Linked DNA regions of Rhinolophus ferrumequinum. The protein of the gene in region 2 interacts with the protein of the main gene of each other region in a biochemical or structural test. Links are inferred from orthologs where the notes say so. Each region holds a gene or a part of one and is shown on either strand. Other genes may lie near its edges. The genes, in order: AGO2, TNRC6B and AGO1.

What was found.
Region 1: the proteins of TNRC6B (region 2) and AGO2 form a complex in vitro, tested with the Homo sapiens proteins (3 studies listed by BioGRID and IntAct, with this or other methods). The link is inferred for Rhinolophus ferrumequinum from reciprocal best matches to the Homo sapiens genes TNRC6B and AGO2.
Region 3: the proteins of TNRC6B (region 2) and AGO1 form a complex in vitro, tested with the Homo sapiens proteins (2 studies listed by BioGRID and IntAct). The link is inferred for Rhinolophus ferrumequinum from reciprocal best matches to the Homo sapiens genes TNRC6B and AGO1.

What each region holds. Positions count from the first base shown.
Region 1 is NC_046297.1:71,130,430-71,137,955, reverse strand, and holds the start of AGO2 (protein argonaute-2), read left to right. Parts: upstream 1-4,478; 5' UTR 4,479-4,571; coding exon 4,572-4,593; intron 4,594-7,526.
Region 2 is NC_046293.1:7,522,776-7,529,988, reverse strand, and holds the start of TNRC6B (trinucleotide repeat-containing gene 6B protein), read left to right. Parts: upstream 1-4,127; 5' UTR 4,128-4,140; coding exon 4,141-4,185; intron 4,186-7,213.
Region 3 is NC_046292.1:24,903,528-24,910,742, forward strand, and holds the start of AGO1 (protein argonaute-1), read left to right. Parts: upstream 1-4,141; 5' UTR 4,142-4,357; coding exon 4,358-4,382; intron 4,383-7,215.

The DNA.
Region 1 (7,526 bases), on a different chromosome or scaffold from region 2:
CTTTTGTAGAAAATGAATTTGAGTTTGCAACCCTTGATGTTATAGCAGAAGCAAGACTTTGTGGCATCTTGCACACGCTGTCACTGTTTTTATTTTAGGCATTGTAGTGGGTGTGTATTGTTGTCTTACTGTGGCTGGAACTTGCATTTTCCTAATGGTCAGTGATGTGGAACATCTTTCCATCTTATTTGTTTTTCAGGTTACCTATTTGAGCTCTTACCCTCCGTATCTCCTCTTTAGTGAAATCTCTCTCCAGGTCTTTTGCCCCTATTCTAAATGAAGTTTGTTTTTTTACTGTTGAGTTTTGAGGGTTCTTTATATATTCTAGATACTTTGTCAGATGTGCGGTATACAAATATTTTCTCCCACTCGATAGCTCATCTTTTGACCCTTTTAACCGGGCCTTTCACAGAGCAAAAGCTTGAATTTTGATGAAGTCCAGTGTACCCACTTTTCCTGTTACGGATTGTGATTTTTGGTGTCAAGTGTAAGAACTATTTGCCTAGCCCTAGATCCCAAAGATTTTTCTCCTGATTTTTTGTCTGTTTTATGTTCACATTTAAATCTTCCCTCCATTGAGAGTCAGTTTTTCAGTGTCCTCACGTTAGTGACAGCTTGGTTCTTCTCTCCTTACTACACAGAAGAAAGAACCGTCGTGGAGCCAGCCGACAGTGTCTCAGGAGCACTGCTGGATGAGCCCCTCTTGCAGTTCTGTGTCCCAGTGAGTGATACCCTCTGCAGACCGCGGTGTCAGTGGCCTCGGGGTCTGTGCAAGGAGGCAGCCCTGACCGCCTGCCTCTGTTGGGTGCACAAAATGACAAAGTGATCTGCGTTCAGACTCAGTGGTTTCCGTGTGGAGAAATGGCTGCCACGTGGACTCTGTTCCTACTTTGATGGAAGTATTTGTCAATCCACAACCACACTCTTGGGTTTTCAATTCAGACAGACAGCTGATATTTTTATCCAAACGATCTTTAAACATTAGAGCTGCAAGAGATCATAGATTTCTACCTCAGTGTTTCCCAAAGTGTGCTCCATGGAACCCGAAGGTGCCCTGGGATAAACGGGTTCTGTCGCGGAATAGATTTGGGACAGGCTGCATAGGGTCTTTTCTCTTCCTTCCTCTTTGTAGAATCCTGATTCTTAATCTTTTGTTAAAGGCTCTGTGAAGGCTGGCGGTCAATAAATCCGTTTGGTGTTGTTTAACTGAATGATTCCCAATTTATTGGACCTTCTAACTCCTCTTTTATCACGTGCAGACATGTTTTTGGAACAATCGAATTATTCCAGTGTCGTGAAGAAGCGTAGGGCCTCTTGAGTTGAGAGCGTCGTGGGTGGGATGACCGCAGGAGGGCGCTGTGCGCTTGGCCTCCCCGCGCGGAACTGCTCTAGACCGCGGCACCCAATGCGCAAACCGGGGCTGACCAGCATGGGGGACCCTGGCAGTGATTAGGCCCTGCAGTCTTAGCAGAGCATAGGGACCCCTGTATCAGGGAGAGAGACTGGGCCCCGGAAGACCCGTGAGTCGGCCCTGTGGGGCCAACATCCAGGTGTTGGTTGAAGGCCTGACGAAACCGGGCAGCGGCAGTTGGATGCGGTTCTAGAGCCATGTTAAGCCAGAATTGAGTGGACTCGAGTAAGTGGGTTAAATGGATTCACGGATTGCGGTAGAGGTAGCAGGCAGAGGCCCTGGGGTTTCTTCGGTGGATGGTGAGTGTTGGCTCTGCTGGGGGCACAGGAGAAGGAGCAGGTGGGGAGGACGGCTGAGCTGCTGAACTTGGTTTGATGCTTGTGGGCCTGGAGCTGCGGGGCCGGGGGCAGGAAAGGGGTGGGATTCCTCAGCACAGGCAGTGGGGGGTAAAGTCTGGGAGAGGAGGGCACAGGGGAACCCCAGTCCTAGCAGCGGGGGGCAGGAGAACCCCACCCAGATCCTGGGCTCACGGGTCTGGAGGGCCCGGCAGGCCGCAATAGCGCTCCTCCACCAGCAGGGATCGCGCGTGTCAATCTCGGCGGGGCAGTGACACAAAGAAACGCCTGAGAGATACTATCTTGCCAGACCTCCTGCAAAGGAACCCTGGCAACAAACTTAAACCCGCCTGGGCTCTCCCAGAAGCAGGGCGCTGAGGGAAGGAGATGAAACAGTTTTCCGGTGGTTTCCAGAGGCCATAGGTTACAGCAGAAGCAGCAGAGCGTTTAAGCCTCTGAGTCATTGGGGATTTCGGGGAGGCGACACTGTGCTGGGTGTGTAAGACAGAGACACACCTCGGAGGGTCATGGTTCATACACAGTGGAGTCATGTCTGGTATGTTACAATGTTTCGGTTGTGAACTATAGTAAAGGTACAGAAAAGTATATAGAAAGTAAATGTACAGCTTAGGAGACTTGCCAAACCAACAGTAGTGGTACCGGAATGAGAGTGCCCGGCACCCCAAAATCCCCCAAGGCCTCTGGTCACAGCAACCCCCTGCCGCCAACCAGTACCCACCATTCTGATTCTTATGGTAACCACCTCCTTTTTCCTTAGCTCTTAATTACTTAATTATGCATCCCTGACCCATGTGGTTTCATGGCTCCTGCTTTGGAACTTCATAACTGGGATTCTGCAGGGAGTGTGGCCTGTGGCTTCTTTCACCAACATTGCTGAGATGCGGGTCACACTTAGCTGAAGGGTGTTCGTTCTCACTGGGTTCACCTTTATGAATATGTACGGCTCTCTGACCTGTTCCACGGCTGAGTACCTGGGTGGTGCCCAGTCCTGTGCTCGGGGTCGCACATTCAGCAGCCTGTCCACCTGGGGCCCGGTGGTCAGCTCTGCCAGACACTGGTCTTCAAAATGATTGTACTCAGTCCCACTCTCGCAGTAACACTCGAGGAAGAACCTGAAGGGGGTGAAGTAGAAGATTCTGGCAAAGCAGGTAGGGCTGTGTCACAGGGCACTGGAAACCAAATGGAGAGTGTGGACCACGTGCGTACGGAAATGGGGAGCCAATGAAGGATTTGGAGCAAAGCAGGCACAAGATCAGATGTGTGTTCACACAAGAGACTGTTGGGTGGAGAGTGGGTAATGGCGGAGAGTGATTTCAGGGGCTTTTCAGGTGCTCCAGACCACCTGGTCCGCCGTGAGGGTGGAGATGGTGGGCCGAGGATTAGAGAGTGATGGATGGGCATCTGGAAGACTGATTGATGTCAATGATTTGAAGATTGATGTCCCTTTAAGTTTCTCTCTGGAGGAAATGCTGGTTTTCCTGCCCTTCTTTAGGGAGATCCTTGAGGGTTGCCGAAGAACTGGTGATGAACCTATTGCATGCCGACCTCCTTGCAAGCGGGACTCCAGTTCACGTCCACGTTACCCTCCGCGGGAGGAACACGCCGCTCCTAGCAACCAGTAGCAGATGATACAAGTTTATAGAGTGAAGAAGCGAGCGAGCAAGGATGTTACAAGGTGATGAGCACCTCTGCACTGTTTCACCTACGATTAGGGGAGAAAGGAGGTTCCCGTTGGCTGCCCTGGAAAAGGCTCCAAAATACCGCTGGACCCCGGGGGACGTGAAGGACGGAGGATGTGGGTACGAGGGAGGAGTTCCGACGCAGGTGGGGCAGGTACAGAAACGCACGCAGGAGCACGATGGGGACCCGTGTGAAGAGCCTGGGGAGACCCCTGAGTGCTGGCCCGGGGAGTTTTAGTCTGATCGCGTCGTTGACGGCATCTGAAATTTACCGAAACTTAGTAAGAATTTTTTTACATGGATTTTCTGGGTTCTTGGCCGGGAGGTGGCGGTGTGGTCGTGTACGAGGGCCGGACGCGTTCCAGTTCAAACTCCGGGTGGGAAGCTAGCTTCCCGACATTCAGGTTTGGTTAATAACTTAAAAAAAAAAAAAAAAAAAAAAAAAGGCCAGGCTGAGACGCTGGGCCCCCAACCCGTGCCCAAGTGCACCCGGCCGGGTGGGGTGAGGATGGAGAGGGTCATGCGCGCCCCCCTCCACACCCCGCGAACAACCAGAAGGGGGTCCCCACGAGCCCGGAGGCGGCGGGGAAACAAGGGCTGTTTTCTCGTCTTTCTCCCAGGTCTCCGGCAGCGACGCCGAGCTGGCCCTGCTCCGCCCCGGCAGAGGCCACGTCGCCCATCTGAGTGGCTGTGAGGGGTCCCCCCCCCCCCCCCCCGCTCCGCGCCGCCCCCGTCCCCGTCCCGGTCCCGCCCCAGGCCGGGTCCTGGATCCCCGCCCGCCCCCAGTTTCCACCGCCCCGCGGGGTCCCCGCCCGGGCCCCCCAGACTCGCGCGCGCCCGGCTCCCCTTCCCTTCTCCCGCCTGCGCTCGCGCCTCCCTCCTCCCCCGCCCTCTCCTCCCTCGCCCCTCCCTCTCCCCGCCCCGCCCCCTCCCTCCTCCCCTCCCCCTCCCGCCGCCGCCGCCGCCTCCGCCCGCCGCCCGGGCCGCGTCGGGTAAACCTGTTTGGCCAGGCGGCCGCGCTGGGGCGGATCGTGCGGCCGGCGGCTCCCTCGCGGCTCGCGGCGTCGGGGCCCGTGGCGCGCGCGCGGCCGCCCCTCGGCCCCGGAGCCCCTCGGCGGCGCCACCATGTACTCGGGAGCCGGCACCGGTGAGTCCTCGCGCGCGGCGCGGGGAGCGGTTGGCGGGCGGGCGCGAGCGCGGCGCGGGCCGGGCCCGGGCGGCGGGCGGGCGGCGGTTCGGGGCCGGGAACCGGGGCCCGGAGCCGCCGGCCGTTCCCCGATCCCGGCGCAGCCGCTCAGCCCGGCCTTCTCGGGCCGGGTCGTCGGGGCGCCCCCGCGGCCTGGGCCTCCCGCGTCCCCGTCGCCGCCTGGGGCCCCGCGGGCCGGGACCAGGGCCGGGCGGGCGCGTGTAGGCCCGAGGCCCGCGTGTGGGCCCCGCGCCGCCGGGTCGGGCGCGGAGGCCGGGCTCTGAGCGCCGAGGACGCAGGCCCGGGTCGGGGCGCGGGGCGCGGGGCGCGGGGCGCGGGGCGCGGGGCGCGGGCGGCGGGAGAGGAGGCGGCGAGGCTGGAGCGCACTCAGTTTCGTTTTTCTTGTTGCCAGCACTTCTGCGGCCCCTTCTCTGAAGGAAAGTCTGCAGATGCTGAATTTTGGCCAATTGCTGTTGGTAGTTCGGATTGTAAACTGAGAGGGATAGGAAGCGGTCCCCTGAACCCTGAAACTGCATGCGGCTCAGTCTCATTCCAGACACGCCAGCCCCTTATTCAAGTGCTAATTGCCTTTTCCAATTTGCTAGGAGAGGTAAGGAGATGTGTTGATTTCCTTAGCACCCCTTCTTACTAGTCAGCCTTTTCCTTTGGAGAAGTTCTAAAAAACTTAAAATGCTAAAAGCGGTAACACATTGCCCCCACCTTTTTTAAATGCACAGTTAGAAGGACCATTGACTTGCTCGTCCAAGAAAATGGTCCAGTGTTATAAAGCTTTATCGCTGCCTCCCGCCAGGCACGTGGCTTCTAAATTTCCCGCTGGCCCTGCCACTTGCACAGGGTATTGCCTGTCCCCTTTGTCCGCCAGGCTGGAGCAAGCTGCAGGCCCCACGGGCTCCATGCTAGGGGGCTCTGGCCCTGTGCTAGGTGTGTCCCAGGCCTGGGCCCTTGACGGCCTCCTGCCATGGGGCCCTGGCCCCACCTGTTCCAGACCTGCTCCAGATCTCCAGTCTGGAAGCCCCTCTTGATCCGCTCGGGTCCCTTGACATTGTCTCCCACTGTGTGTCTGTTCACAAACAGATCTATGTCTGTGACTTCTGAGTGTCTTTTTTCTGATGTCACTTAGCTTCTCCAAGGCTGAGCCTGACAAACTCTTAAGGGCACTCAGCAAGTTGACTGAAGAATGACTTTAACCCTCCACCTGGGAGGGGACTCAGCCCTTGTGGGGAATGGGCCTGGACTCTTGCTGTTACTGTCCTGGGGCATATTTGGCTTCTTGAGATTCTGGGCGGTGCCCCCCACCCCCATCTGTGACTTGGCCGGGTCGCCCCTCTCCCAGATGATCCTTGTAGAGGACCCAGCAAGTGTTTGCTGCCCCACTGGACATGTTTCCTGGTTTTCGGTTTAAAAGTCGAAGGCCTGGAGAAAGTGAAGAACCTTGAGGAAGGTCAAGTTTTTGTGTTGTGTTTCACGGTATTGAATCTGCGGGACAGCTTGCTAAGTTGGTGGTGTTCATCATGACAGAGGCTCAGAGAGGTTAAGACCTTGCCAAGGTCATAGGACCAGCGAGCATTAGGACGATCTGTCTGATCCCCAAGCTGACTCTCTGTGCACTGTCCTCAGAGAGTAGTGGCTGTCAGTCTTTTGACTTTGACCCACAGTGAGAAATACCTGTTACATCTGGACTAGAGTGGGGTGTGAGTACACACAGGTATCGTTGAAACTGGAGCTTCTGGAGGCACCGCTCACCTTACTGCATAACCTGCATCATGAGATTTCCTCGTCTGTTTCATTTTTTTTTTTAAATGCTTTAGTCCCGTCCATCTCCTGGCTCCCTTTTCTGGTCGCTGAGGGCTTTTGGAAGACTCTTGCTGTGGTGCAGGCCTCCGTGCTGTGCATGGTGGGAGAGGGCCGTGCTGCACAGACCAGCGTGCCCTGCAGCCGGCCAGCGGAGCCTGAGAAAATAAATGGGTCTGGATAGTTCTTAGATAATGGCAGGATGGGACTGAACCCAACTTTCAAGCTGTATGAGTGAGCTGTAATTACAAGGCTGTGGTGGCACACGATTTTATTCTACACACTAAGGCTTTTAATTTTTGGACTAGAGTCTCCTCAATGAAACTCTTTTTAATATTATATTTCTTAATTTAGAATAACGAGAAGACATTCGATCTGGATTGTACAAAAATTACAAACAGTTTTGCTACTTCCAATTTTAATACACTTACTAAGCGACTTACCCAGTAAATTAATTTTTAAAATAGAGTTCACAGTAGGTCTCTTATGCCCATCGTCACTGCTCGAGCGCATGCGTGAATATCTGGACTCTCAGGTTAGGTATGTTACTATTCGTCTTTTGTTTAACTGTTCGAAAGAGTTAGTGGTTTGGGGTGGGTGGATTCGCCAGTGACCGTGAACCTTCCTGGGTGAACCAATGAGTTTCGTTTTGTTTATTTAACCCTTTCATGACCTTAGCCTGTGTCTGAGCAAATGCCTTCTGTGAGGGCATCGTTGGTCTCACTGTGTTTCGACTCCTGGGGGTCACCACTCCACTCAGATAGGCTACAAAGTAACCTTGGGGACACCGAGGCTCCTTGGAGAATGGTCCAGGCAGGATGGTGACTTGGAGAAGTAACGGCTTCCATCGTGGTTTCTAACTCCTCCTGCACCCCACTTCGTCTCCCCACCCTCGGTTATCTCAGGGAAGATAGGACCCATCTCCCACTAGTGGAGCACGCGGGCCATCGCGGCAGATGGCCTCTGCCCTGGTGCGGAGGGCGGTGGGTAGTTGTACAGAGTCCCCTTGGATCTGTTACAAACCTTGAAGAAGAAGTTAAATAAGTGTGTAAGGAAAAAAAGTAAAAGCCCCAACTCCTAAA
Region 2 (7,213 bases):
GTACCATGGTTTTGGTTATCTATTCACCAGTTGATGGACATTTGGATTGTTTCCACTTCGGGCTATTATGAATAATTGCTGCTGTGAATATTCACATACACAAATGTTTGTTTTAATATTACATAAATAATTAATAACCAAATGAGAAAATCGGGAAATTTCATTGCAAAATATTTTAACCCCCAAGTTAAAATTTTATCTTAGACCATATCAGATTGCATTTTTACATTATATTAATTCTTTATGGTCCCTTAAAGGCCTTTACAGACTTGCAATTCAACAATAATCCTGGTGTTTTTAAGGTAATGAAACCTCATATAGTAAAGATTCACACTTAACAATATATTTTCATAGTCATTATTCGAGCCTCACACAATAGTCTCACAACTGTAGGTAGGACAAGTACTATTATTTGTCCCTCATCTGTTGTTCTCAGAGGGAGTCTCCACCTATATTCTGAGGTCATTGCTGCAGGAGCCTCATCCAGACTGTACGTCCAGTTTGTGGTCTACGGTACACACAGGATAGGGCAACATCAGGGACTACTCTTCTATGTGATACAGACCCACATCTGGAGTCTCTGTAGTTTATTCATGCACAGATACTCATGGAGCACCTAGTACGTGCCCGGCTCTATGATGGATGATGGGGGTTGAGATGTGAAAGATTTAACTCTCCAGAAGTTATCCGTAAGAGCTGTATACAAGCACATACCCTATGTTACGGAGCCGTGGGAACCCAGAGCAAGAGTAGGTATGGGGGAGGGGCTGTGGGGGTAGGCAGGACATTACCAGTGTGTTATTGATAATAATATTAGCTAACACCTAGTTAGTAATAATAGCTAATGCCTAGTGCTTACTCTCTCCCAGGCATGTTCCGAGCACTTTGCATACACTTCTCCATTTCATCTTCACAACCACCCAGTGAGGCAGGTCATATTTTTATCCTATTTTACAGATGAAGAAGTTACAAAACTAAGGTTGGTAAGTTGACCAAGGTCACCTTACCAGTAAATGGCAGGTCTGGAATTTGAACCAAGCAATGTGCCTCTAGACTCTGTGTCTCCTGAAGAAGTTTCTCACAGGAGATGACATCCAGCCTGTGTCTTGAGTGACAGTTTGTACTTAGTCTGGCAGGAGATTGGGATATGTCTACATGGTTTTTTAGACAGAGAAATATCATGAGTTAAGGTAAAAAGGAAGCACAGGTTGAGAGCAAGTATGGCAGACTACTTGTGAAGAATGGTGGGTGGCAAGAGATGAGACTAGAAAGATCGGACTGGACAATGAAGGGCCAGATGCCGTCTAAGGAGCTTGGTCCTGTGATCTCATTTTTAATGTTATACCAAAGATACCAGTTTTCTTAGTAATTATTTTCTTTTTCTTGCTTTCATTCTTCTTTATTGTGAAATATATCACAGAACCAGAAAAGTACATAAAATGCAAATGTAAAACTTAATGAATCGTTTTAAAAAACTACCTCTCAGGTCAAGAAATAGGACATTGCTGGGACACTGTAGCCCCTTTTTAGTGACCTTTGCTAGTCATTACCCCTGCCTTCCCACCTACAAGTAACTGCTCTTCTGATTTCTTTCTTTTCTTTCTACTTTTACTACTCATGTGTACCTCTAAACATTATAGTTCGGGCTGATTCTGAACACAGAGTCACATGCTATGAATTTTTTTGTATCTGGTCATTATGTTTGCGAGATTCACCCATGTTGTTGTGGGCTGCTGCTTCATTTTCGGTGCTGTATGGTATTCCATTTTATGAATATGCCAGAATGCATATTTATCTGTTTCACTATTGAGAATACTTGGGTTGTTCCCAGTTAGAAACTATTGTGAATGGTGCTGCTCTGAATATTTTTATACATGTCTTTTGGTGCACATGTCCATGAATTCTGCAGGGTATAAAGCTGGGAGTGTCATTGCTGGATCATGAAGTGTGTTTGTCTTTAACTTTAGAAGAATAATGCCAAACTGTATTCCAAAGTGGATATAACAACTCACACTCACACAAGTGGAGTATCAGAGTTCCTTCTGTTCCGTATCCTCAGCAATATTTGTTATTACCGTGTTTCCCTGAAAATAAGACCTACCTCAAAAATAAGCCCCAGTTAAGATTGTCAGCCAGATGGATGCATTTAGTATGTTCTGACGATGTTCCAGAAGAAGATGACGTGACTGTATTTGGATAAATGTAGACTGTTGTATCTGAAAAACTAAGACGTCCCCTGAAAATACGCCCTAATGCATCTTTTGTAACAAAAATTAATGTAAGACCTGGTCTTATTTTCAGGGAAACATGGTAGCAGACTACCATGTCAGCTAAAATTTGTAGCTATTCTGGCATCATCATGATTTTCTTTTGTATTTTCTTTTGTACTTTCTCACTTACTATTGAGGCTTGACATTTTTTCGGATGTTTATTGGCCATTTAGATTGTGTAGTTTTTTTGTTTGTTTGTTTGTTTGGTAATGTGCCTCATCTAATCTCTTCCCCATTTTCCTATTGAGTTATGTCTTTTGTTTTTAACTTTTAGAACTCTCTGTTATTTCGAATATGAGCCCTTTATTGGTTTTATGTGTTCTACTTTCTCACTTTCTTATGTCTTTTGATGAACAAAAATTCTGAATTTTCATATAGTCATATTTATTTTTTAGTAATAGGTACTTTTTGTGTCCTGTGTAAGAGAGCCCTCCCTACTCCTGTGTTATCTTCAAAAAGCTTTATTATTTATCTTTCACATTTGGGTGTGTAGTTCACCTGAAATTGATTTTTGTATATGTTAATTCCTAATTAACTTGTTAGTACTCCTCTGCCTTCAAAATACTTTTTACATTTTGTCCAGATTTTCTGATTGTCCTCAGCATTAGTTGGTCTGAATTACCTAGTTTACCATTCCCAGAGCAGAAATCTTTCAGAGTTTTAGTTTCACTTTGACTTCAGAATGGTCTGTTCTGTAAAGGGGCCTTAATAAATATGTTTACTACAAAAAACAAAAAAAAAACAACTGAAAAACTATATAGAGTCATGCTTTTTTCTGTTTTTTTTTAATTTAAGAGATCAAAAAAGAAGCTTCTGTTTCATCTGCTTTTCTCAACTATAAAATATTGTTAAGACAAGTGAAAACTTGCTGCATAAAATGAACAATTGTGCTTATTGCATATTAATTTTAGAGAATTAATCATGGTAAAATTTTAAATTAAAAACATCCATTATCAAACATTGACTTTGATGATAAAAACAGTTTAACCATGGGTATAGCCACCTCCCTTTCTCTGTCTGTCCACATAATTAAACCTCCCTTTTGGCCAGAGATGGACTGTATGCAAACCACATCCAGAATGCTTTTAGTTTGTGCCACAAAATATGAAGAAAATGTTTTCATTTTATGGCAACTAGATCCGTGACATATGAAGCTGCAGGAACTGTTTTTACAAGTGCACAAGATGCCCGGGAACGGGGGAGCAGACTCCCATGATTATTGGCAGGAAAAACCTGGCTACGTGGCTGATGTTAAATCTGCTTTTTACGACAGCCAGACCAAGAAATGTCTCCCGTATTGGAGCTGGTAGCAGTGAGATGATTTTTCACTCAGTAAACACAGCCTCGGGAAGCCATGCGAGGCAGTTTCTCGTGAGCCATTTACAGCTTCTAGGAGGAGAGCACAGTGTAGGCGCCACAGAGGAAACCCTGACGTGGCCTTCAGGGAATGTTGCTGGGGGACTTGCTGAGGGAGAGGCTCCTTGTCCCGCTGTCACCAGAACCCCACCTTGCCCTGCCGTTTGTCTCTCTGAGATTCACAATGGAGGTGAGCTAGATTGTAGCTCCAAAATGTTAGGAGTAAGAGTTGCGTACGTGGAAGTTAATGGCTTTCGAACCACACACTTCCTTCCTGCCCAGCCCTTGCTTATTAGATCACAGAACCCATTTTCTTTCTCTTTTAAAATTAATAATTAGCCAAAATTTGGTCTGGGGATCCCTCCCCGTTCCCCAATCCAGACCCTTTCAGGGGGTGTGTGAAGTCACAACTGTTTTATTAGTACTAAGATGATAAGCCTTTTAACTCATTCTCTCATGATTGTGCAGTGGAGTTTTCCAGAGGCTACGTGACATGTGAGACGCAAAGGATTGAATGCAGAAGCAGATCCTAGGGGCCAGCTGTTGTCTCTTAAGCCAGGTAGTAAAGATATCTGCAAAAATGTAAACAGTGGCACTTTTCTCAAAATTTTTATCCTTTAAAATATTTTTAATTTAAAAATGTTTAACATGTAATTGTTTAATATTTTTAAATGAATAGTTACGAATAAATATTTTTAAATTTTCATAGTTTAATTTTTAATGTGGTAAATACTGACAATTAATCCACATGAACAAAAGCTCTTTGGGGTTCTCAGTAATTTTTAAAATTCTGAAGCAGTCCTGAGACCAAAAAGTTTGAGAATCATTGCGTTAACCGCTGTCAGTTCCAGTTGGAATCCCAGTTTCTCTCTGAGGGCTGCATAGCTTGTCTAGCCCACTTTTTCTCTGTGTTCTCTAAATTTCTGTGCCGCACAGCTTCATGCTTGGTTTTTGTGGAATTGTTTGGCGTGCTAGTTTTCTCCTCCTTATCAGTAGTGTAAGACCTCTGAGGACAGGGATATCTTAAGTGAGAGGTTTTTGAGACGTTCATGATATATACTGCTGAGCACAGCATAAACAGTTGGTAATGGTTATTCGTATTATTATTTTCAATATCAATATTAAAATTTCCCAAACTCACTGGTTTATTGTAGAACCGAGACGCAGTTAAAATTTTGTGAACCTTAGTAGAAATAGCTATTTGATTAAAAAAAACTCATTAAATTAATATACAATATGGAAAAAGAATAAAGGGTTTTTGATCATAGATCATCAATAATTGGCTATAAAAGCTGAGCGTGTTAATCTATTTAATTTTTATGTGTCCAACAATGGCAGTAAAACCTGGCCACAGGCTCTTGTTGATGGCCATAGGCCGAGCGTAGTGCTGGGCGCTTAGTAAGCGTTCAGCAAAGCTGTTGAGTAGCTGCTTCTGCCCTTCTTATTACGGCTAGTCCCTGCCATCCCCGCCCCTACCGCCAAGTGACTAGCAGTTGGTTTAGTCTTCAGAAGGTAGCGTGCCTTTCTGGTAAAGAATTGGCAAATTGTCCTGGACTAAGCTAGAGAGCATTAATTAATTGACCAAACTGGGTTAGTAGCTGAAGGTGAGGCACTTGCCTTTGTCTTCACCCCGCTTCAGACTGAGTTTGTTTTTCTCAGGCAACCCTTGCTAAGAAGATGTAAAAATAAATTTAACATCTTTATGCCAGGATCCTGCTATTAGTTCCAAAGTTTGCGCACAGGCTCTCCCTGGAAGTCTGAGGGTCTCACGCAAATACCACACTGGCCTGAGATCCTGGCATTACTTTACCATGGTGTTCTAGAACAGAGCATGGTACCTGGTAGGTGGCTCATTCACTGAATGAATGAATGAATGAATGAATGAATGAATGAATGAATGGAGTCTGTACTGTAGCCCTGGACATACAGTTATAACTTATAAGCAGTGTCCTTATTTGAATAAACCAAGACTATTGCATTGAGTTTACTTTATTTTTTCCCCCAAAGTGTGTTTTTATTCCATAAGAGTTTATGGGGATGTCCTTTGCACTAGCACTGTTTTAAATGATGGTGATACAGTGATAAATCAGGCTCAGAGCCTGTCTTCAGGAAGCTAATAACCTAGTAGTATACACAGCGTACACAAGCCTCGTGGAAATATGTGCCAAGCACAGTTGCTAACTCAGAGGAAGGACCCATCCTGTAGCAAGAGAGAGGAATCAAGAAAGACTTCCTAGAAAAGGTTTCTCTATGCCTGCATCTTGAAGGTTGAAAAAGAATTTGCCTTGTGAGTGGGAAGACAGTCCAGGTGGAAATGGCATGTACAGGGTCAGAGGCACGTGAAACCATGCGGTGCTTAAGGGACACTGACAGCAGTGTGGTTTTGTGAGATGAAGCCGAGAGGTGAACTGGTACGGGGCCTTGTAGACCACACAGTGGGAATGGGACTTTCTCTCGAAGATGGATGAGAGACATTGCAAGGGCAGTGTGGGTTTGCACTTTGTAAAGGTGATTCTCATGGCAGCGGAGGTGGGGTTGGTCTTGAGGGTAAGAAAACAATTTAAAAAACAGTTGGAATAAATCTGATGAGAAACTATTGCAAAACTAAGGCCATGGCAGTAGGAACGGGGAAGAAAATACACACGGAAATATGTGGGGATTAGAATTGATAGAGTTTGGTGAGAAGATGATGCTGGTCATGGTCCCAGATTTTTCTTTTCTTTTTTTTTTTTTTAAAGATTTTATTGGGGAAGGGGAACAGGACTTTTATTGGGGAACAGTGTGTACTTCCAGGACTTTTTTTTTTTTTTTTCCAAGTCAAGTTGTTGTCCTTTCAATCTTAGTTGTGGAGGGCGCAGCTCAGCTCCAGGTCCAGTTGCCAGTTGCTAGTTGCAGGGGGCGCAGCCCACCATCCTGCTGGAAGGAGTCGAACCGGCAACCTTGTGGTTGAGAGGCCACGCTCCAACCAACGGAGCCATCCGGGAGCTCAGCGGCAGCTCAGCTCAAGGTGCCCTGTTCAATCTTAGTTGCAGGGGGCGGAGCCCACCATCCCTTGTGGGACTCGAGGAATCGAACCGGCAACCTTGTGGTCGAGAGCCCACTGGCCCATGTGGGAATCGAACCGGCAGTCTTCAGAGTTAGGAGCATGGAGCTCTAACTGCCTGAGCCACCGGGCCGGTCCCCAGATTTTTCTTTGAGTGAGATGATAGTATAATATTTCCAAGTGAGACAGAAGGAGGATACAGTTTGGGGGAAGGTTATTTTAGTTTTAGTTATGTTATGGGGACCCGTGGGACATGAGGTGGAGAAGTCCCCTGACATTCGTATGTCCCCATACAAAGGCAGTTGTATAGATAGATGGCCTTGAAGATTGTAGGAAAGGTCAACACTGGGGAGAGATTTGGGAGTCATCAAGATACAGGTAGTAGTTAAATCTATAGGAGAGGATAAGGACATGTATATCTAATAAATGGAGAAAGGGGAGGATGAACTCTTGAGGAACATACCAGTAATGAAAGGACAAGCAGAGGAAGACTGTCCATCAAAAGGGACTGGAAAGAAATGGTCTAAGAGGTAGCAAAAGTAAC
Region 3 (7,215 bases), on a different chromosome or scaffold from region 2:
TGGATATTAAAATGTATCAAATATTTTTATCTATGATAATTGTTTATTTTTGATTAATCACATATATTGTATATTATATTAAGATTTTTTAATTTTTGAACCATCCCTGAATTACCCTTGTGTTGATATGCTATTCTTTTAATAATAATGTCATATAGTGTTGTGGTTAAGAATGTTGATACTGAAGCCATCGAGCCTGGATTCAAGTTCTGCCTCTGCTAGTTGCAAGCTGTGTTATCTTGATCTTGGGCAAGTTACTTATCCTCTCTGTGTCTCTATCGCTTTTTTTTTTTTAATGTCTGATCTTATTTATTTGTTAGTCTTAGGAAATCTCATTTTTGACTGAATTGCAGGTTCTGCTAACTCTTTTGGGCCCCAGGTGATGTGGCACAGTCATATCTATGTCTTCATTTATTATTATTATCATAATTTTAATTAATCTGTTATAGAATTCTATATGCTAACATTTGACTTGTGATGTTTGCATCCACATTCCTGAGAATTCTTTTTATAATATCATCATCTGATAAGAGATGAGGATCTTTATCTGCTATTCTGAACAAATTAGGAAAATTCCCCTTTTCCCCATGTTCTAAAACCATTCAAATAACGTGGAACAGGATTAACTCTTTCAAGAATGTTTGGAAATATTAAACAGTGAAACTCCTGAGCCTGGTGTTCTTTGGTTATTTTTGATAACTTTCTCAGCGTCTTCCTTAATTGTTGCTCAACTCTTGCTTTTGAGTCCTTGCTTTGCATTTTTTAAAGTAAAAATATATATGTAATTTAAATTAAATCTCTGTGATGAGTTTTAAAATTTAGGAGTGATAAATATGTTCAATGTCTCAATTGTGGTGATGTTTCATAAGTTGATACATATGGTAGAATTAATTACATTGTACACTATATAAGTGCAGTTTATTGTGTCAATTATACTTCAATTTAAAAAAGTGATTTAAAAATGTCTACCAATTTCACAAGTCTTTACAAAGTACTAGCTGACATTTATTAATTCCATTGTTCATGATTTCTGATTTTTAAAATTATCTTCTGAAATACATTAAAAGATGTATTTTGTTATAGATAGAAAGAGGTGGTGCATGCAAGAGCTGTTGGTGATTCATTTCCTGATAGTAGGGTATACATTTTGTTTTATGTCTATTATACCACCTTGATTTTATTGTTCCCAGGCTGTTTTTTAAATATTAAGGAAAGGAAAATATAGATTGAGATGCAGATTTTTCTTCAGGCCATACTTGTTGTTTTGGGACCAGGAAACTCTGGGTATAGAGAAGGTATAAAAGTGGAAGGACCTGGGCTCTGGCCCACTCAGCAGATGCCCTAGGGTGTGAGTTAGCTATGGACTGAGATGCAAGAATGGAACTGGAAACAGAGGCAACCAATAGCTTTCTGGAAGAAAAGCTATCAACAGTTACTGGAAGAATTTCTCAGCATAAAACAGCAAAATGCTATCTGGATTTCCCTTATATTCTACCACTTTGCCTAGCCAAGAGTAAAATCCCTGATGATGGAGACACTGCAGAGAGACCCGGAGAGCCCAGGGCCCGGCTTGACTCTGCTAGCCACTTTGGACCTGGGTCAGAATAGTGACCAACGGCTTTCCACAAAGTTGAGTGTGAGGCTTGGTATTTAGAACAGGGGATTCAAACTCTCATGGAATGCTGAGCTTCCAGCTTAGTTATACCAAGGTAAAGGTCTTGGCTATTTCTGGGGATGTTTTGATGCCATCTATTTGATTCAAATCAATCCAGATTTACTGATCATTCTAGGCACAGCTTGTGCCAGCCACTAAAGGGTGACAGAAATGCATCTGATGTGGTCCCTGTTGTTAAAGAACTTAGACTATAGTGCAAGAAGCAGCCAATAATTACTGTGTTTCCCCGAAAATACGACCTAGCCGGACAATCAGCTCTAATGCGTCTTTTGGAGCAAAAATTAATGTAAGACCCTGTCTTATTTTACTAGAATATAAGAACGGGTATAATATAATATAATATAATATAATATAATATAATATAATATAAATATACCAGGTATAATATAATATAATACCGGTCTTATATTAATTGTTGCTCCAAAAGATGCATTAGAGCTGATTGTCTGGCTAGGTCTTATTTTCAGGGAAACATGGTACAGTATGATAGCAGCTGACACTTTGCCTGCATTCTTCTATGCACTGTTCTGAGGTCTTTATATGTATTAACAACAGCCCAATGAGGTGGAAGGAAATGAGGGAGAAGGAAACTGAGACACAGATAAGTTATTTTCCTAGTGTTACACAGCTTGTGAATGGTAGCACCTGGATTGAAACCCAAACAGTTTGGCTCAAGAGTCTTTGTTTTTAACTTTATCCTGTACAGCAGTGGTTCTCAAAGTGTGGTACCCAGATTGGCAGCTTCAGCCTCACCTGGAAACTTATTAGAAATGCACGTTCTTGGGTCCCACCCAAGACCTACTGAATCACAAGCTCTGGAACTGGGGCTCTGCAATCAGTGTTGTAACAGGTTCTCCAGGTTATTCTAATGCCTGCTGTTTGAGAACCTCTGTTAGAGAGAAGCAAGGCATACTATGATGAGTGTCAGAAATTAATCTCTCTATGGGTAGGGACTGGGTGTGTGAGATCTGTCTCTTAAGTTCCTTGCCCTCAGCGCAGCATCTAGTGTAAAGTAGGCATAAAAAAATACATATGGATGAATACATATGAATAAATATAAGGGAAAGTGATGTTTGAACTGGGTTTCTTACCAAGTATCAACTGCAGCAGACCGAATGGGAGGACTCTTCCCAGAACCTGTGAGACTAGCGAGGAAGTGGTGTGATACTTTTGGCAAGGTGTAATAAGGGTCTGTACTATCACAAGGAACCATCAGAATGGCAGGGGATCATGTAAGAGTAGTTTAGGAGGTAAACATGTCAGGACTTGGTGAAAAGCTGAATAGGGGGAAGAAGCAAGGGAGAGAAACTTCATTTCTGGGATGAAGGTGCCATTTGCAGAGACAAGAAGCATAGGACAAGCATGTTTGTGGGGTAAAGATAAAGAGTTTGGTTTTGGACTCTAAATTTGAAGTACTGGTAGGATATCCAGGTGGAGCTGTCCAGCAGACACTTGGAAATATGAGTCTGAGACTTGGCTGGAAATAGAGATTTGGAAGGATAGTTGAGCCGTAAGAATGGGTGAGACCTTCAAGGGGAAAGTGGAGAGTGGAATGAGAAGAGAGCTGGGTTTGAAACCATGGGGAACACTGTTATTTAGGGGGGCAAAAGCAAAAGGGGGCTCTTGATTAAGACCGAAAAGGAGGTAAGCAATAATAGGAAATCTCAGAAAATACTGAAGCCAAGTAGAGGGCTCAAAAAAGAAGGAGAGACACAGTGTCAGATGTTGCAGAGAAATAAGAATTGAAAATTATCCTTTGAATTTTGACACAAAAAGTCTTTTAAGTGAAGTGGCGAGGACACGCAGATTGAGTTCAGGCGTGAGCTGTAGATGAGAAAGTGGAGACCGGTGCTTGCCAGGTCCCACAGACAGAACTCTGTAGCTGCAGTCAAGTTGAAACTGTGACATCGTCCAGGGTAGTAAGCAGGTCTCTTTCATTATCTGTGGTCTCTGTGCCCAGCACTCGGCCTGGAAATGAGGATGGCATCAGTGAATTCAGTGACTAGGGACGGAAAAAGGCTTCAGGGAGGCAGTAGCTTTGCAGCCAAGGGGTGAAGGATGAAAGAAATGGGGAGGCGAGGTGGTAGGCAGAGCCGCGGGGTGATGGGTTGCACGGAGAATGTGAAGCGGGCCTTGGAATGAAGTAGGGTTCCTGTAATGTGCGCGTGGCTCTGTGCAAAGCGGGGAGGCTCTGTGTAGGCTGGGAGGGAGCTGTTTGGGTGAAAGACAGGGCCGGAGGCTGCTGCGGGGGGTGTCCCCCCGCCCTGCGCCACTTACGCCACTGCGCGGTTCCGCTGCGCCTCTACCCAAGCCCTCCGGCCGGGCTGCATGGCGACGGGTGACCGCCAGGGGCCGCTGCCTCGGTCCCGGGTGCCCCCGCCCCTCTCCATTGGCCTTTGTTGCCGTCGGAGCGCCCCGCTTGACTCGTTCCCGTCCGCCCCCTGGGCCTGGCGGTCGCGCCTGCGCACTGGCAGCTGGCCGGGCGCTCGCAGGGGGAGCTGCTGCAGGCTCCGCGGCGGCGGCGGCAACGGAGGCTGTGGGGGTGGCGGCGCGAGCGGCCGGGCTTCGGGGGGGAGCCGAGCCCGGCCCGGGAGCCCGAGCAGCTAGAGTGCAGGGTACCTAGGCCCCTCACGCTGGACTCCACAGTCTCCCGGCCGCCTGACCTCCGCACGGGTATATGGGATGGAAGCGGGACCCTCGGGAGCAGGTAAGGGCCCCCGGGAAGGGGGGACGGTGCGTGCTCCAAAGGACCAAGGGACTCCCGCGTGCAGAGCAGTAAATCCGAGTCAGGGAAGGTTTCTTGAGTGAGGAGAGGGGCTCTTGTGGGATGGGGGGCCCAGTTTGAAGGGGGCTGTGTGCAGTTCCGGGGGAAACCTGGTGAAGGGAGCCCTGAGATCGGGGCCGTTTATCAAAGGAGGCACTATGCACTCCTGGAGGTGGGAAGTAATCTGGGAGAAGGGCCTGAACGCACGTAAGGACTCCCGGAGGTCCCTGGAGGCCTAGGGAGAGGCCCGGCAGGTGGCACGGGGCGGGCTCCAGGTGTCCAGGAGAGGAGGGGGTCGACACAGATGGGCCCAGAACTGCCGCATGCCGGGGGCGGGGGCTCAGCCGGTCTGGGCTGGGTTAGTGTCTCTTGGGAGAAGGCGCCAGAGCTGGACTGTGAGCTCCGCCCCAGCCGGGCCTGACGCGGGGGCGAGGGTCAGGGGGCGGTGGGTGGGGATCCAGCCCTGGGATTCCACCCGGTGAGTCCGGGGAGCTGGAGCAGAGGCGCTGGAGCATGCGCGGAGGTGGCAGCTGGAAGGGGCAGCCCTATGTGGTGGGGGCGTGGCTGCCCGAATCTCCCCAACTCCCCACCCCGCGCGATTTGGCTTGGAAATAAGAGCGCGCCGATGGGGGTGCATTCTCTCTAAGGTTATGCTGGCAGAGCGCAAATGGAAATGGTCCCCTTCCTCATCTTGGGGCTTCTTAACCCTTGGCAAAACCCTCAGTCACAATTTGCCAAGAATGAGTTGAGGGAAACTGCCAAAGTGCCTTATTCTGCCACTGGGACAAGGAAAGACAAGGCAGTGTTCTTGGGGCGGGGCCTCCCTAAAGATAGGCCTTAGGAAAGGTATTGATTACTGAGGGACCAAGGCCAGGCAGGCCCTGGTTTACCTGGAAGAGGTTGTCTGCCTGGTCTAATAGCGAGTAGAGATGGGATCATTTAATCAAAGGATAATGACCTTTCCATTGAAATATCTCCTGAGGTGACAGCCTAATCTCATTCTATACCTTAACACTTTTATTGCTCCTATCTCCCACTGGATATCTTTTTCCTCTCTCTAATCCCCAGAAACTGTCAGGGCCATGTCATTTGACCTAAGATTGCCAAGCTAGCCCTTTGTCATCTATCAGTTGTTTGGGGGAGGAGGGGTTTATAACCTTCACCCTGGTGAGTTCAGGTGATGATAGCCTTACTTTCTCCTTGTTCATGGGCAATCAGGAGAAAAGGAGATAAAAACAGGAGAAACTGAGGCTGGACTGCCCCACGAAGACTGGAGTCTCCAGAATGGGCTGTGGGATGGTGGCACCACCTGTGTCCTGTCCTTTGATGGGAGGAGCATTCTGGACCTGGGACTCCTTTAGGTCGTATCTCACCAGCTCCTACCATTTGATCTGGGGGTGGGAGTAGGGTTTCCTTTGGGGACTTGAATTTCATTTCTGGTGGAAGAATCTTTGTCTTTTATACCAGATCTAATCCCCTCAAGGCACTAGCTCCTACCAACTCATTCAAGTCATCCATTCAGAGATCTGTAAGTACTTTCCTCCAAGAGAAAACAACCTTGGAAAGGCTGTATAGGTCTTAAGGTGGAGTGCAGGGAGCAACAGACTTCAGAAAACTACTTCCTCCTTCCCTCAGGCCCCTTTCTCCATTCCAGGAACTCTCCTGGTTTTCTAGGCTGGAGACTTTGCAACAACCTGTGGACTAGAGTAGGAGTAGGTCACAGGTCCAGATAGATTGCTGGGAGTTGACACCCATGCCAGACTGCTAATGATTTTATTCTGATGAATTCCTAATGGGCTCTGGAGTGATGAAAAAACTGTTTCTTCCAATAAATAAGCTTCTAGGGAAGGGACTAGAGCTTGGTATCTGGAGTTGGCTGTAGCCTCGTGGGGCAGGCTTTGCTTCATCAAATGATGTAACTGAAATTCATTTTGGAAGCTATCAATAGAGGTACCCACATAAGTGCGTCCTTCTTAGGCCCAGACTAGTCTCTTGGAAGTTGGAGGACACAATACACAAAACTAAGGTATTGTTGCTGGCTTCACTGGGCCTAAGTCCAAGTGTGCCTTCTGTGCTCAGGTGTGTTCCAAACACATACTAGACTGGTAGCTCCCTGAAGGTACAGGTAGTGTCTAATTTATCTGTGAAACCAGCACATGTGTAGGTCCTGACACAAAGTACATGTTTATTAACTGAACTGAGTCCAGTCCAGAGTGACATAAATGGTTAAGCACGTATGTGAATATTTAATAATTTGCGTATACTTATGTGTGGACAAATTCTTTTTGGAGAGATTGGCCTCTTAGTCTTTGCTTACTGACAGCTAACCTAGCCTTGAGTTTGTCTTTTGAATAGGCTGTCTGGCTCCTTGGGAGTTTTGTGGGCCTCAGAAACTGCAGGGAAAGAATCCCTGAGCCAGGCATTTCAGCTCTGTTACTTTTCCTTCTCAGGGCTGGTTGGGATGGGGGAGGGGGAGTGTCCTTTTCACGGCCCCTCCCTCCTTGCTTTTGTCTGTAAGGAAGGGCCCCGCCCCTTTCCCCCAAGGCCCAAGCTTTGTCCTCTGTGCTGGGGCCCTCATCTGCATCACAAAGTGGCCGTCTGTCCCTGTCTGGGTCTGAAGGGAAGTGTCTCCCTTTCTCAGACTAAAAGCTGGGGGCTGGGGCACTTTCTACAGCTGTAAGGCTTGCGGAGGGATGGAATTGGAGAGAGCTTCCCCCTTCCTCCTGCCTTCCCTAGTTTTGGGATGAGGAAGCATGGGGGCTCTCTTGTTTTCCCA